Linked DNA regions of Nothobranchius furzeri. Each later gene encodes a partner of the first gene's protein in a complex. Links are inferred from orthologs where the notes say so. Each region holds a gene or a part of one and is shown in the gene's direction. Other genes may lie near its edges.

The links.
Region 2: the proteins of nup93 (region 1) and nup35 are in contact, whole or in part, in a crystal structure (PDB 7MW1), measured with the Homo sapiens proteins. The link is inferred for Nothobranchius furzeri from reciprocal best matches to the Homo sapiens genes NUP93 and NUP35. Residues at the interface, in NP_055484.3 of Homo sapiens: Tyr266, Tyr269, Asn402, Ala407, Asp408, Lys409, Thr410, Glu411, Tyr413, Tyr448, His452, Phe453, Val455, Asn456, Leu461; in NP_612142.2 of Homo sapiens: Ala88, Pro89, Pro90, Val91, Arg92, Ser93, Ile94, Tyr95.
Region 3: nup93 (region 1) and nup62l share a complex: the UniProt entries of both Homo sapiens proteins name them as parts of the p62 complex. The link is inferred for Nothobranchius furzeri from reciprocal best matches to the Homo sapiens genes NUP93 and NUP62.

What each region holds. Positions count from the first base shown.
Region 1 is NC_091744.1:86,665,161-86,669,387, forward strand, and holds the start of nup93 (nuclear pore complex protein Nup93), read left to right. Parts: upstream 1-1,304; 5' UTR 1,305-1,459; intron 1,460-2,516; 5' UTR 2,517-2,520; coding exon 2,521-2,699; intron 2,700-2,873; coding exon 2,874-2,991; intron 2,992-4,227. UniProt on the Homo sapiens protein: Plays a role in the nuclear pore complex (NPC) assembly and/or maintenance. May anchor nucleoporins, but not NUP153 and TPR, to the NPC. During renal development, regulates podocyte migration and proliferation through SMAD4 signaling.
Region 2 is NC_091754.1:38,657,370-38,661,578, reverse strand, and holds the start of nup35 (nucleoporin NUP35), read left to right. Parts: upstream 1-1,404; 5' UTR 1,405-1,525; coding exon 1,526-1,538; intron 1,539-1,726; exon of another isoform or gene 1,727-1,829; intron 1,830-2,547; exon of another isoform or gene 2,548-2,749; coding exon of another isoform or gene 2,750-2,762; intron 2,763-4,209. UniProt on the Homo sapiens protein: Functions as a component of the nuclear pore complex (NPC).
Region 3 is NC_091754.1:20,876,607-20,880,493, reverse strand, and holds nup62l (nucleoporin 62 like), read left to right. Parts: upstream 1-1,292; 5' UTR 1,293-1,483; coding exon 1,484-2,926; intron 2,927-3,006; coding exon 3,007-3,165; 3' UTR 3,166-3,344; downstream 3,345-3,887. Other genes in the region: pdk1 (pyruvate dehydrogenase (acetyl-transferring) kinase isozyme 1, mitochondrial), read right to left, coding at 386-494. UniProt on the Homo sapiens protein: Essential component of the nuclear pore complex. The N-terminal is probably involved in nucleocytoplasmic transport.

The sequences.
Region 1 (4,227 bases):
TTATAAACTACATACCTGGAGAGAAAAAACATGGATATAGATCATCAGTAATTATTTAGAAATTGTAAATCCAGCTTTAGGAGTAACTAATGTCAAATTCAGGTAGATGGTTTAACAGAATGTATTTATTGAGTATTAGAACTATTTAAAAAGATTATTATGAAAAAGTTATTTTTCTAAGTCCAGTTTTTGGATCACAACAAAATTAGATGATTTTACAATATTACACTTTATGAATCAGCTCTTTGACAACTATGATGTAAAAAAGGAATATCAAAAAGTAACACGTGTTAAACAGTGGTTCACAAGAACTTGAGCTTTAATAAAAAGGATGATTTAGAACAATGCGTGCCAGAAAAGATCACAACGTTGTCGCAAGATGTCAGATAAAAAAGAGCTTTCCATTCTCTGGTGGTGTTTATGTTTTTAAAATAGCATCAATATGTGAAGGCATCAATAACTTACTATATACTAGTATAAATACAAGCTCATTCATTAATTTCTATACCTTTTATTGTTTTTAAAGGAGGACATGTTGAGTTTATATGGACATTTAAAAGAAAAACTTCTGTGGCACGTTCTTTCACTCTTGTTTCAAATAATGTCAGATTTTTCATTTCTAAATAATTTTGTGCCACTTGAATTATTTCACTGACAGAAACGTATGCAGCTCATGGAACAAGAACAAAATAAGTTTGTGTGAAGATTTTTGTTTTATCACAAAACGTCACACAGTTGTGCAGCTATGTCCATGTGCCCATAAACTGTGTTACATAATGAAGTAGCTCTGGGGCTTGTGCCCCAGATGACCAGATCATTGCACAGTTGAGTCTGGAAGCAGGAGTTCAGCACCCATCTGCTCTTTGTGATTCACGCTTCAGTGTTTTTGTTTAGAGCCGACAAAAAAACAAACAGAAAATATCATTCCATTGGCTGCATTGTATTAGGTCATTTAAAATATATATGTTTATTAAAAGTATCAATTAAGACAAGTGGCAGGGATAAATGAAAAATGAAAAGATTTGTTTCATTTATTTCACGTGTACGGTGTTAGGGTTGTGATGTGTCCCAAGTATTTTACTCTCGATGCTTCTAATCATTTTTAATATAAGTTCTATTTAAAGCAATGCAGGGATACAAATATACGTACAAAGAACAAATATGTACACTGTTAAATATGTTATGTTAGTCGGAAAACAAAAAATGACACACATGAAAATAATAGGTATCTTTTGCTTTTGACTAGGATTCCCCAAGTACCCTGAAGGAGGCATGTGACGACAGACGCATGCGCACCGTTATACAGTCTGAATTGACCAATCACCGACGACTTCAGAAATACCGGGGTATACTTTCTGCGGACTACGCTTGCCTGTGAACGAAACTATCTAAAAAGCACATTTATTCACTTACATGAGGCGAACAGGCTGAACTGTAATTTCATCCAACTTTAAAACAGGTATAATAATCGTCTCCATTCAACTGTAGAGAAATTTAACATCAATTTAAATGAAGTCGAAACATGTGCGAGCGTTAGCATCTTAGCCAGCTCGCTAACCGTTTAGCGTCGCCGGTTGATTGTAACTAGGCTATGTTGTAGCATGCTACCACGGTTTTGGAATGTCTGGTACGAGTTTTCACATTTCTTAAGCAGTTTCAATGTCTGAACTTATCTATCGAACGGTATTCTGTTGACGTCCGTAAAGATTGATCTCTCAACTCGTCAAGCACATCATGCGCGCGCTGCAACTGTTCAGCTGTAATCTTTCTCATGTTTACCTTTCAAGCCTTTTCCCCCATGACGCATTTTTACGTTGGTAGATAAATAGTACAGTTTGTTATAACTCCAGGCAGCATAAAGAATTATAGGTTAGACCATCCAATTTTTAAAAGTAGTGTTTTATATCTTCAGTTATGCTGTATCTCAATGTAAACACAGGGTAAACTTGTTTTTATTTAATTAATCAAAAAGCTGCAAGGCAAGGAGGAGCTTTTATCCATGCATCATAAAAGTTATAACGTGACTGTAGAAGTGCACACTTGTCTAAAGTGAACATTGACTTCTTTGGGCTCTGAGCTGACGCATCTAAGATGAATCATAAACTGTAAAACATAGAGTATGTTTTTGGGTTCAGTTGTTTTTTAACTAAGGAGTTTGAAATGATTGTGATTGTAGTTGTTTACTATTTGATTACGGAGCATCATGTTCCCTTCAAGACAGTTGCACTCTGTCATTACTGACAGAGATACTGGCAAGCTATCCTGTCATGTAATCTGTTGTCTTTAATTACCTCTAACACAAAGTCTGTACAGTGTCAAACATTGTAAAATCACAACGTATTTTTGTTTATATTCCACATACTATTTTAAAGTTAAGCAAATTATGAAAATATTATATATTTTTTAGTGGAATATTTTATTGCACAAACCCAGACCCGCAAAACACTTACCATAGAGAACTGTTCAGTGTTTTCATTTCAAGTAAATCACATTTATAAACTTCTCTACCTGTTAAGAGTCATGGATGCAGAAGGGTTTGGAGAGCTTTTGCAGCAGGCAGAACAATTGGCTGCAGAAACAGAAGCTGTGTCTGAACTGCCACATGTGGAAAGGAACCTTCAGGAGATCCAGCAGGCTGGGGAAAGGCTTCGATCCCGCACCTTAACTCGCACCTCTCAAGATGCTGCAGATGTGAAAGCGTAAGCAACCTTTTTGGTTATTAAACCCTTTTCTTCCCCAGGTTATTAATCTCAGGCATGATGTTCAATTGATAGATTACTTTGCCTGCCAGCCTAGCCTGCCATCTAGTGGTGTCAATGTAAAATTACTTCTCTGCCAGTTGAAACCTCTCCAATCTTTTGTTCTTGTAACAGGTCCATCCTCCTTGGTACCAGAGGTTTAGACGTCTTCCACATTTCACAGAGACTGGAAACTCTAAGTGCTGCCACCACCTTTGAGCCCCTGGAACCAGTCAAGGACACTGACATACAGGTATGAATGAAACGAGAAGCCTTGGGTCCTGACACCTGCTAGCAAGTCTCTAATGCTTCAGATGCCTTACTAGTGCAAGCCTCATGTAAGATGAATAAGATAAACTTTTAATGCTCTAATGGTTGCGTGTGCCAAGCCTTTTTAAACATCCCCAACAGGACTTAAGGCTGCCAAATGTTTTCTAACTGATTGCTTATATTATTCCCTTGACATCAGTGGAATATGATTCTGTGCTGTGACACAGTGAGGCTTTCAGGAAGGTTGATGTTATAGGGCTCATAACAAACACTGTAAAACTAGATAATTGTGATTAATTCAGTCTCTTATCAGAGATAAGTGAAAAGAAAAACACTTAAAATTCTGAGCTCAGTGTTGGAAATAATCCCCTTGGATTTTAGCTTGGCAAGCCATCATCTATCTATCTATCTATCTATCTATCTATCTATCTATCCATCTATTCATCTATCTATCTATCTATCTATCTATCTATCTATCTATCTATCTATCTATCTATCTATCTATCTATCTATCTATCTATCTATCTATCTATATCTATCTATCTATCTATCTATCTATCTATCTATCTATCTATCTATCTATCTATCTATCTATCTATCTATCTATCTATCTATCTATCTATCTATCTATCTATTATCTATCTATCTATCTATCTATCTATCTATCTATCTATCTATCTATCTATCTATCTATCTATCTCTATCTATCTATCTATCTATCTATCTATCTATCTATCTATCTATCTATCTATCTATCTATCTATCTATCTATCTATTATCTATCTATCTATCTATCTATCTATCTATCTATCTATCTATCTATCTATCTATCATCTATCATCTATCATCTATCATCTATCTATCTATCTATCTATCTATCTATCTATCTATCTATCTATCTATCTATCTATCTATCTATCTATCTATCTATCTATCTATCTATTATCCATCATCTATTATCTATCTATTATCCATCATCTATTATCTATCTATTATCCATCATCTATTATCTATCTATTATCTATCTATCTATCTATCTATCTATCTATCTATCTATCTATCTATCTGTCTATCTGTCTATCTGTCTGTCTGTCTGTCTGTCTGTCTGTCTGTCTGTCTGTCTGTCTGTCTGTCTGTCTGTCTGTCTGTCAGGGCTGGGGGTAAACGATTATTCTGACGATTATTTTATCGAATAGTCGAATATTCTAATGACTATTTA
Region 2 (4,209 bases), on another chromosome or scaffold:
AAGGTCAGACTGCCAAGATGGTTCAATTCAATTCAATTCAAGTTTATCTATATAGCGCCAAATCACGACAAGAGTCGTCTCAAGGCACTTCACATAATAAAAATTCCAATTCAGGTCAGTTCATTAAGCCAATCAGAAATAATGTTTCCTATATAAGGAACCCAGCAAATTGCATCAAGTCACTGACTGGTGCGTGTGCTGGGATGGGGGAGGGGTGTCATTTTCTCTCTCTCTCTCTCTCTCTCTCTCTCTCTCTCTCTCTCTCTCTCTCTCTCTCTCTCTCTCTCTCTCTCTCTCTCTCTCTCTCTCTCTCTCTCTCTCTCTCTCTCTCTCATATTATTTATATCCACCAATAATATTAATACTATTTATAGCATGGATTGAAAGGCTTTGAGCCAAAGACGATATCAGACATTTATATGAGTCGTGGAGGATGGCTGCTTATACTGAGCCAGGATCCTCTGGAGGTTTCTTCCTGTTAAAAGGGAGTTTTCCTCTCCACTGTCGCTGCATGCTTGCTTATGTATGCGGATTGCTGTAAAGACTCTGACACTAGTCAGTGACTCGATGCAACCTGCTGGGTTCCTTATTTAGGAAACATTTTACTGATTGGCTTAATGAACTGACCTGTATTAGAATATTTTATTATGTGAAGGTCCTTGAGACAACTCGTCGTGATTTGGCGCTTTATAAATAAACTTCAATTGAATTGAGTGAATAATAATGATGCTGCTGTAAAATTCCACCTCCAGTCCACACCCAGACACAATTATTCTCTCTTCTGTCTCATGAACAGCAGCTGGGATGTTTATGCCCACAACACACTCCTCTGGTTTTGACTTTTTCTTTCTTGTGTTTGCTCCTCATCTATATTTCTGTTTGGATGCCATCTCTTCCACACCTGACTTGGTTGATCAGGTGCTGCATGCCGTTAGTCATTGTGGGAACTTGAACAGCATCATACAGTGGATGGCTGGTATTTACTTGGACACGGACAGAGATGGGTTTTCAGAAATCTCAGAGGTTTTGACTAATAAATGACCGGTTAAACTACCGGTAGTCATCATACCCTGGAAAAAAGGCCCCGGTACTAAAGCACTGGGATGTAGACGTCACACAAGGTCCTCCTATAGAAAGAGAAAACTCCCCCCAAGGATAAAAGTGTTATCACCAGAGGGAGGGGCATCCTTTTTCTTTGATATTACTCATTTGTACATCTTTAATTAAATCAACTACTACATGTTGACTTTCTGAGCTGAATAAACAAATATGTTCTGGTCTGACTGAAGGACCAAAGAGATGTTACTTAGCTCACATTATACAACAGAAGCCCACGACTCATCAGGGGATGGAGAGGAGTACCCACAGTAGTTTCTGCTCGTTAAACAACAACAGACAGCTACAGCTTATAAACTGGACTCTCCCATATTCCAGTCAGAACTGACAAAGCTCCTCGGAGGACAAGAGAAACGTCTTCAAGAAACCAGAGGAGTCCAGCTGCCTTCATCTGAACGCTTGGATCACCATGACCTGGATGAGTGAGAATCTGCACCAGAACACCTCACACTGTTTGTTTTACGTCCTTAAACACATACAAAAGTATCCACTTGTGCTAAGCTAGCGGATCATTTAGCTCTGCAGCTTATACGGCTGACACAACTAAACTGATTATCCTCTAGAGTTCATCTTATTTGTATTCAATCGAACAAAACTGTAGTTCCGTCACCTTTCGTGCGTTTTAACTCCTACACGTCCGAGATCCGTATCAGCGTCCGGCTCTAGCCGGCAACAAGCTAAGCACAACACAGCAAATTGCATCCGGTTATTGGTTTTCAAAATAAAACTCAAACAGCCAAGTAGCTGGTAGATGTGCAAATTAAGCAAAGTCTAGAAACGCGGTTCGTAAAACTGAAACGACTCCGAGCTGGACTAGTGTCAGGAAACAGAGCTAAGTTATGTGATGAGCAAGAGCCTCTAGTCCTCTACGGGCTTGTATGAACCAGAAAGATGCTGCTGGCTTTTATTTTCACAACACACTGACACATTTCAAACTACTTCTGGTGTGTTGATGAGCTTTAAAATTCAGGGTGTAATTATATGACGTGTAGTTGAGCGTGTTCGACAAAGAAGTTACAAAACTAGTGAACTACTCCAAATTGTATGTAATTAATCTGGCATGCCAGGCTAACGAAGCGGGATTTTAATGAAAACGCATTATTTTTTTACCAAACATTTACACTTGAGCACATTCTGCCCAGCACTGTGCTGACATCAGCCAAAAAAGCAAAGGTTGAGAGATTGTTTTGGAGTGGTTCCCGCTTTTAATCCCTTTATTTATTCAGATGAAAACTAAAATTCTTTATAAACCACAAAAGTTTTTAATGTGTGAACATAACTTTTAGCTTAAATTTAGAACACAGATGCACAGCTTTCATGCTTGTGGAGTCTCTCGTCTTCAAAGCACGGCAAGAGAAGAGGATGCGAAGTGCGAACATCTTTCACGAAACGCACTTTTGGTGACGTCATCCACGAGCGCCGGAAGTTATTCGGTGTTTACTCGTTCAATCAGAGTTCATATACATGAGAGAATTTCCACAAACAGGTTCGTTCCAACCGAACGGATCATATCGCGTTTGTAGGTACGGTTTGCTGGCAGGCTAGCTGTGTGTGCGACAACCGCGAGAAGTAAGAGCAGGAGTAGGATCGTCAGCGGTCGTCACTTCCTTCTTTTGAAAATCGCGGCATCAGAATGGAGTCACAAGGTAGATAAAAGTTTTCTACAAAGTTCTGGTGTTGTTTTCTTACTATCGGGGCTGGCTGCCTTTATATGCAGTCACATGCTTAGTCCCGTTTGCACCCGTAGTGGTTTCCCTGGAAGAATACTGACACGCGGCAGCAGGTTTGGTTTAGGACTTCAGATCAGCTCGTGGGTTTTATTCTAATTTGGAACCATTTTCCTGAACCCACTGCGAACCCACTTTGGTCACCATTGTTTATCTTCAGAATTTGACAATTTTCGTGCTGCTTTCATAACAGCCTTAACCTGTGAACGTTAGGACACAGCTCTCATCTTTTTAAATGTGGATCATTTCACTGAAATGCAATCCAAGATGATTATGATGCAGACTAGAGGCTGACCAACATGGTTTCTTAAGGAAGGCCGATACCAATTCTTAAAAATTTTTGTTGCCAATGGTCGATATCTAGAGCCGATTACACACACACACACACACACACACACACACACACACACACACACACACACACACACACACACACACACACACACACACACACACACACACACACACACAGTTTTAGCAGCACGTTGATTGTACTGGACACTAGCTGTGTGCACTATAAATTAAATAAGTCAATGAATCTCTTAGTTTTATATTTGAAGTTCAATAAATATTAACTCAAAACATAAAAAATGTGCGAACGTTTTCAGAACAATAGAAAATAAAACTGATTGAAGTTTTTTTTAAGTGTTTAAAATAAAGAAAATCAAACAGTACCCAGAATAATGGTGCAAAATAGCATCTGGTCGAGGTGGAATCTTCAAGCAAAAAAAAAAAAACTAAAGCACACTACCACATTGTATTAAAAAAATAATGTTTTAAAAAATGGTGCAAAACATCAAATTTAAAGGCATATTCCACTCAGTAGTAACATGCTGTCTGTTGATGGGTTTCTCAGAGTTAGATAAGTGAGAAAAAGGATTTTGTAGCTAGCAAGCTCAGTCATTCTCCTGATCTGGAAGCAGTAAGTTTCGCTTTAGCTTAGCATAAAACAATGTAAGTAAAAAGAAGGTTCTATGCTAGAAGCTTCTAGGATGAGAAGAAAAAAAATAGATCCTTTGCTATACCCTTAAATGTAGCTGCTGTCGGTGACAACCTAACATTAAACTCTCAACAGGCTAAATGGTTCAAAAAGCAAAAATAATCTCAAGTCTGTGTTGTGAGATTTTATTTTATGATTATAGTGGTAAGGATTAGCTACATTTATGAAATGATCAATAAGATGTGATATTCCATATAAATCTGAATTATATATCTGATTGGCCTTTGAATATTTGAATGTAATAAAGTGAAAATGAGCCTATTTCAACTGTGTTTCAGCAATTTACGTGTTTCGTTTTTGGCTGAAAATCTTCTGTGGCTGAGCTTCGGTGCATCCCTATTGGACATAACTTGCTTCTTATTGAAA
Region 3 (3,887 bases), on another chromosome or scaffold:
GAGATAAAACTGGGTGTTAATTGGCAAGTATCTAGCAATATAATATGTTGCTATACAGGAGAGACGATACGATATATTGAGATACTAAAAGGCTGACTATTTTTGCAATTTTTAAGTGAATTTAACTGGGAAAACTCAGACAATTCCAGTGTTTTCGCAAGATATCGGTCTGTCAGACTGAAGGAGGAAGAAACTGCTGCCACCTAGCTGTCAGTGTTTGATCTGCACCACACAAAAGAAATACAAGAAATGTTGGCATGTAAATTCTCAATAATAGATACTCTGCTTTTAAATATCGATTCTGTATCATAAACCGAAATGTTGTGATATTTCAGTGCATTGAATTATTTTTACATCCCTAGAGTGTTATATGAATACATCTCACCAAAATCCAGAAACTGCTTCATTGAAAGAGGGGAAGGAGAAAATCTGGAGTAATAATCGATATCCTTCCCTACTGACACGCTGTTCCTCAGAAACCTCAGAAGCCTCATGTTGACCGGGTTTACTAGTTATTCGGAGGAAGCAGGTGGCTTCCGAGCCACACTTAGTGTTATTTAACGACACTAGCTCGTTGAGCAAACCCAGCAGCTCGCAAACACGCTGTTAAATTTATTATTGTTCAGTTACGTTGCTAATTGATGCAGGTTCAGCATCCATAACTACGGCCGCGCTGCAATGTTTGTGTATCGTCCGGTGTGTACTTCAAGTGATCGCTGCTAAATCCACCGAAGCAGAAAAGTCAACAAGCTAATTCAAAGAGTTACTACAAAGTTCAAGAGGATTCATCGTTGTTGCCTGGCGTATACCGACACGAAGTTCTGTTGAAAGGCTGTATTTAAAATTATTGTCAATATTGACGGTAAATTGCGAAAATAAAGACGTATAAATGCACGATAATGTCCTAAATAATGTCTTTTATTCACGTGTGTATGAAAGAAGAAGAGTTGATAGTGCTCGTTATTCTGTAACTATCTTGCCTTTGCATACTCTTTGTAAAGGCCAAACTATATATTTTTCCGAATGTTTGTCTATCAGGCAGTCAAATGAGCCTATCATGTACCTCAAATCTAATCATAACTCTGATTGGATAAAACAGTTGCCAAATAAATTAATAGGCGGAATTATGTCCCTGCAGACAAAATTCAGGGCATACGAGAATGCCGCGTCTCGGGTGTCGTCACTTCCTTTAGGTGGCCAGATAATTGCCTGTTAAAGGAAATGTCGGTTCACAGGCCCACGTTTTTAGCAATGTGTTATTGATTTTGGCTCTATATTCCTCGGAAGGTAACGTTGATTAGCGTGTGATTTCATTCATTTCCTGCGTATCTGTGCAAAGTTACTTAAATAGACGCAGTGGGGATTTTAGGAACTTCAGTCGGAGGAGTTGGTCATAGCGACCCGCCAAAAGCCACAAGATTCGGCAAGGAAGTGGCCGTTTTAAACGACACGTAACGGCTGTGTTTAACTTCTTGTGAGGATAATGAGTGGCGGATTCAACTTCGGACAGAATGCAGGGTTCGCCTTTGGAGCGCAGAAGACCACTGCCGCTGCCCCCAACGCGGGTTTTACATTAACCAGCTCAGCAGCTCCGGGAGGGGGGTTCGCCTTTGGAAATGCCAACCAGACCAACCCCACCGCCTCTTTCAGCTTTGGCACCCCAGCCAAGAGTTCCGCAGGCGGCACGGGGTTGTCTTTTAGCACGCCTACTGCCTCGTTTGCTCTTGCTACCCCTCAGACAACACCGGCAGCAACAGGGTTGAGTCTGGGCTCTGCAGCAACTCCGGCTGCCGGGTCAGGGTTCACCTTAGGCAGCCTGCTAACCTCGCAGCCCCCAGCTGCTGCACCAGCAGTAGCAACAGTGGCACCAAGCGGGGGAGGATTCACCTTCGGTGCTCCCACACAAGTCCAGCCTCAGTCAGTGGTAGCACCCACAGCCACGACAGCAGCAAGTGGCATGTCCATTGGAGGGTTCAGTTTTGGTGCTCCCAAAGTCCAGGTGACCTCAGCTGCAGCCCCCACTGCTGCCACAGGAGCGGGATTCAGCTTTGGAACCCCTGCAACCACCGCCTCTGCAGCTCCAACCACCCAGGGTGGAGGTTTTAACTTTGGGATTAAACCTTCATCAACCCCAGCCCCTACAGCAACCACCCAGGTGGCTCCGACTCCAGGCCCTACTCTGTTTGCGACACCCATAACCACCACCGCCGCCACTACAGCAGCAGCTCCAGGATTCATGTTTGGTGCAGCTCCAATTTCGGCTCCACTTTCATCGGTGAGCACTGCAACCACCACAGCAGCTGGAGGGGGCTTATCCTTCCCACTCAAACCTCTGAGTTCAGCAACCACCACCTCTGCTCCGGCCTCCATCCTAACTGCAGCCGCCACCACAGGCACAGCTACGGGCTTCATACTGGGACTCAAAACTACATCCACCACAAGCACAACCACAACAGCCACAACAATCGGCACCACCACCACCACTGCTCCTCCTGTGATGACCTATGCCCAGCTGGAGAGCCTCATAAACAAGTGGAGTCTTGAGCTGGAGGACCAAGAAAGACATTTCTTACAGCAAGCGACTCAGGTGAATGCCTGGGACCGCATGCTGGTGGAGAACGGAGAGAAGATCACATCCCTGCACAAGGAGCTGGAGAAGGTGAAGCTGGACCAGAGGAGGCTGAACCAGGAGCTGGACTTCATCCTGTCCCAGCAGAAGGAGCTGGAGGACCTGCTGTGTCCGCTGGAGGAGTCCGTGAAGGAGCAGAGCGGAACCATCTACATGCAGAATGCCGATGAGGAGCGTGAGAGAACATACAAGCTCGCTGAGAACGTAGACGCACAGCTGAAGAGGATGTCTCAGGACCTGAAGGAGATAATTGAGCACCTGAACACATCCAGCGGCCCAGCTGACTCCAGTGACCCAGTAAGATCAGATCTAAGTCATCCTTAAACCTGTCATTATGATGTTTGCCTTTTTCATTCATCTCTTTCTCTCTGTTTTAGCTCCAGCAGATTTGTAAAATTCTCAACGCCCACATGGATTCGCTGCAGTGGATCGACCAGAACTCGGTTCTCCTGCAGAGAAGAGTGGAAGAAGTGTCTAAACTCTGCGACACCCAACGCAAGGAGCAGGAGAAGAGCTTTCGTTTAACCTTTGACTGATCTGTTGATGAGTTTAACTCTGCATAAACATTATGCTCTTTTGTTTGGATTTACTCATTTCACTTTCTGTTTTGGTTTTATTAAGATAAATATTTTCTCAATAGTTCTTTATAAAGTTAATTGATCATATTAAATGTTCTGGGTAGTGTGATTAAATAAAACAATTGCAGTGGATCTCATTCAGCCTGATGTGGTGTGTCATGACTCTAATTCTCACATCTAATCTGAAACATGAAAGATCTACCAGACTTTTTGAGTTGAAATAATCTAAATTACTTAATCATTTTAGAGCTTTAACTGTAATTTGTCTCAGTAATGATCTACAAGCTGCTTAATTCTACCTGAGCCCTAGATTAGATGTAAAAACACAAGGAGGCGGGTGCAAGAAATGATAAATGACCCGCACTTGTATAGCACCTCTCAGAGTAAGGACTCCAAAGCACTTTACACTACAGTGTATCATTCATCCATTCACACACTGATGGTGATGAGCTACGATGTAGCCACAGCTGCCCTGGGGCGCACTGACAAGCAGAAGCATTGGTTTTCTTAACAGCTCCAGATAAGGTAGTAGAACATGTTGGCCAACCTCACAGGTATGTTGCAAAACACTTTGAGATTTTCATTCTAATACAATGTTAAAAAATACAATTCACCATTTCTACAGTAAAAAATTCCCAGGAAATTAAACAGCCATGTCACAAATATAAAAATGGACTACA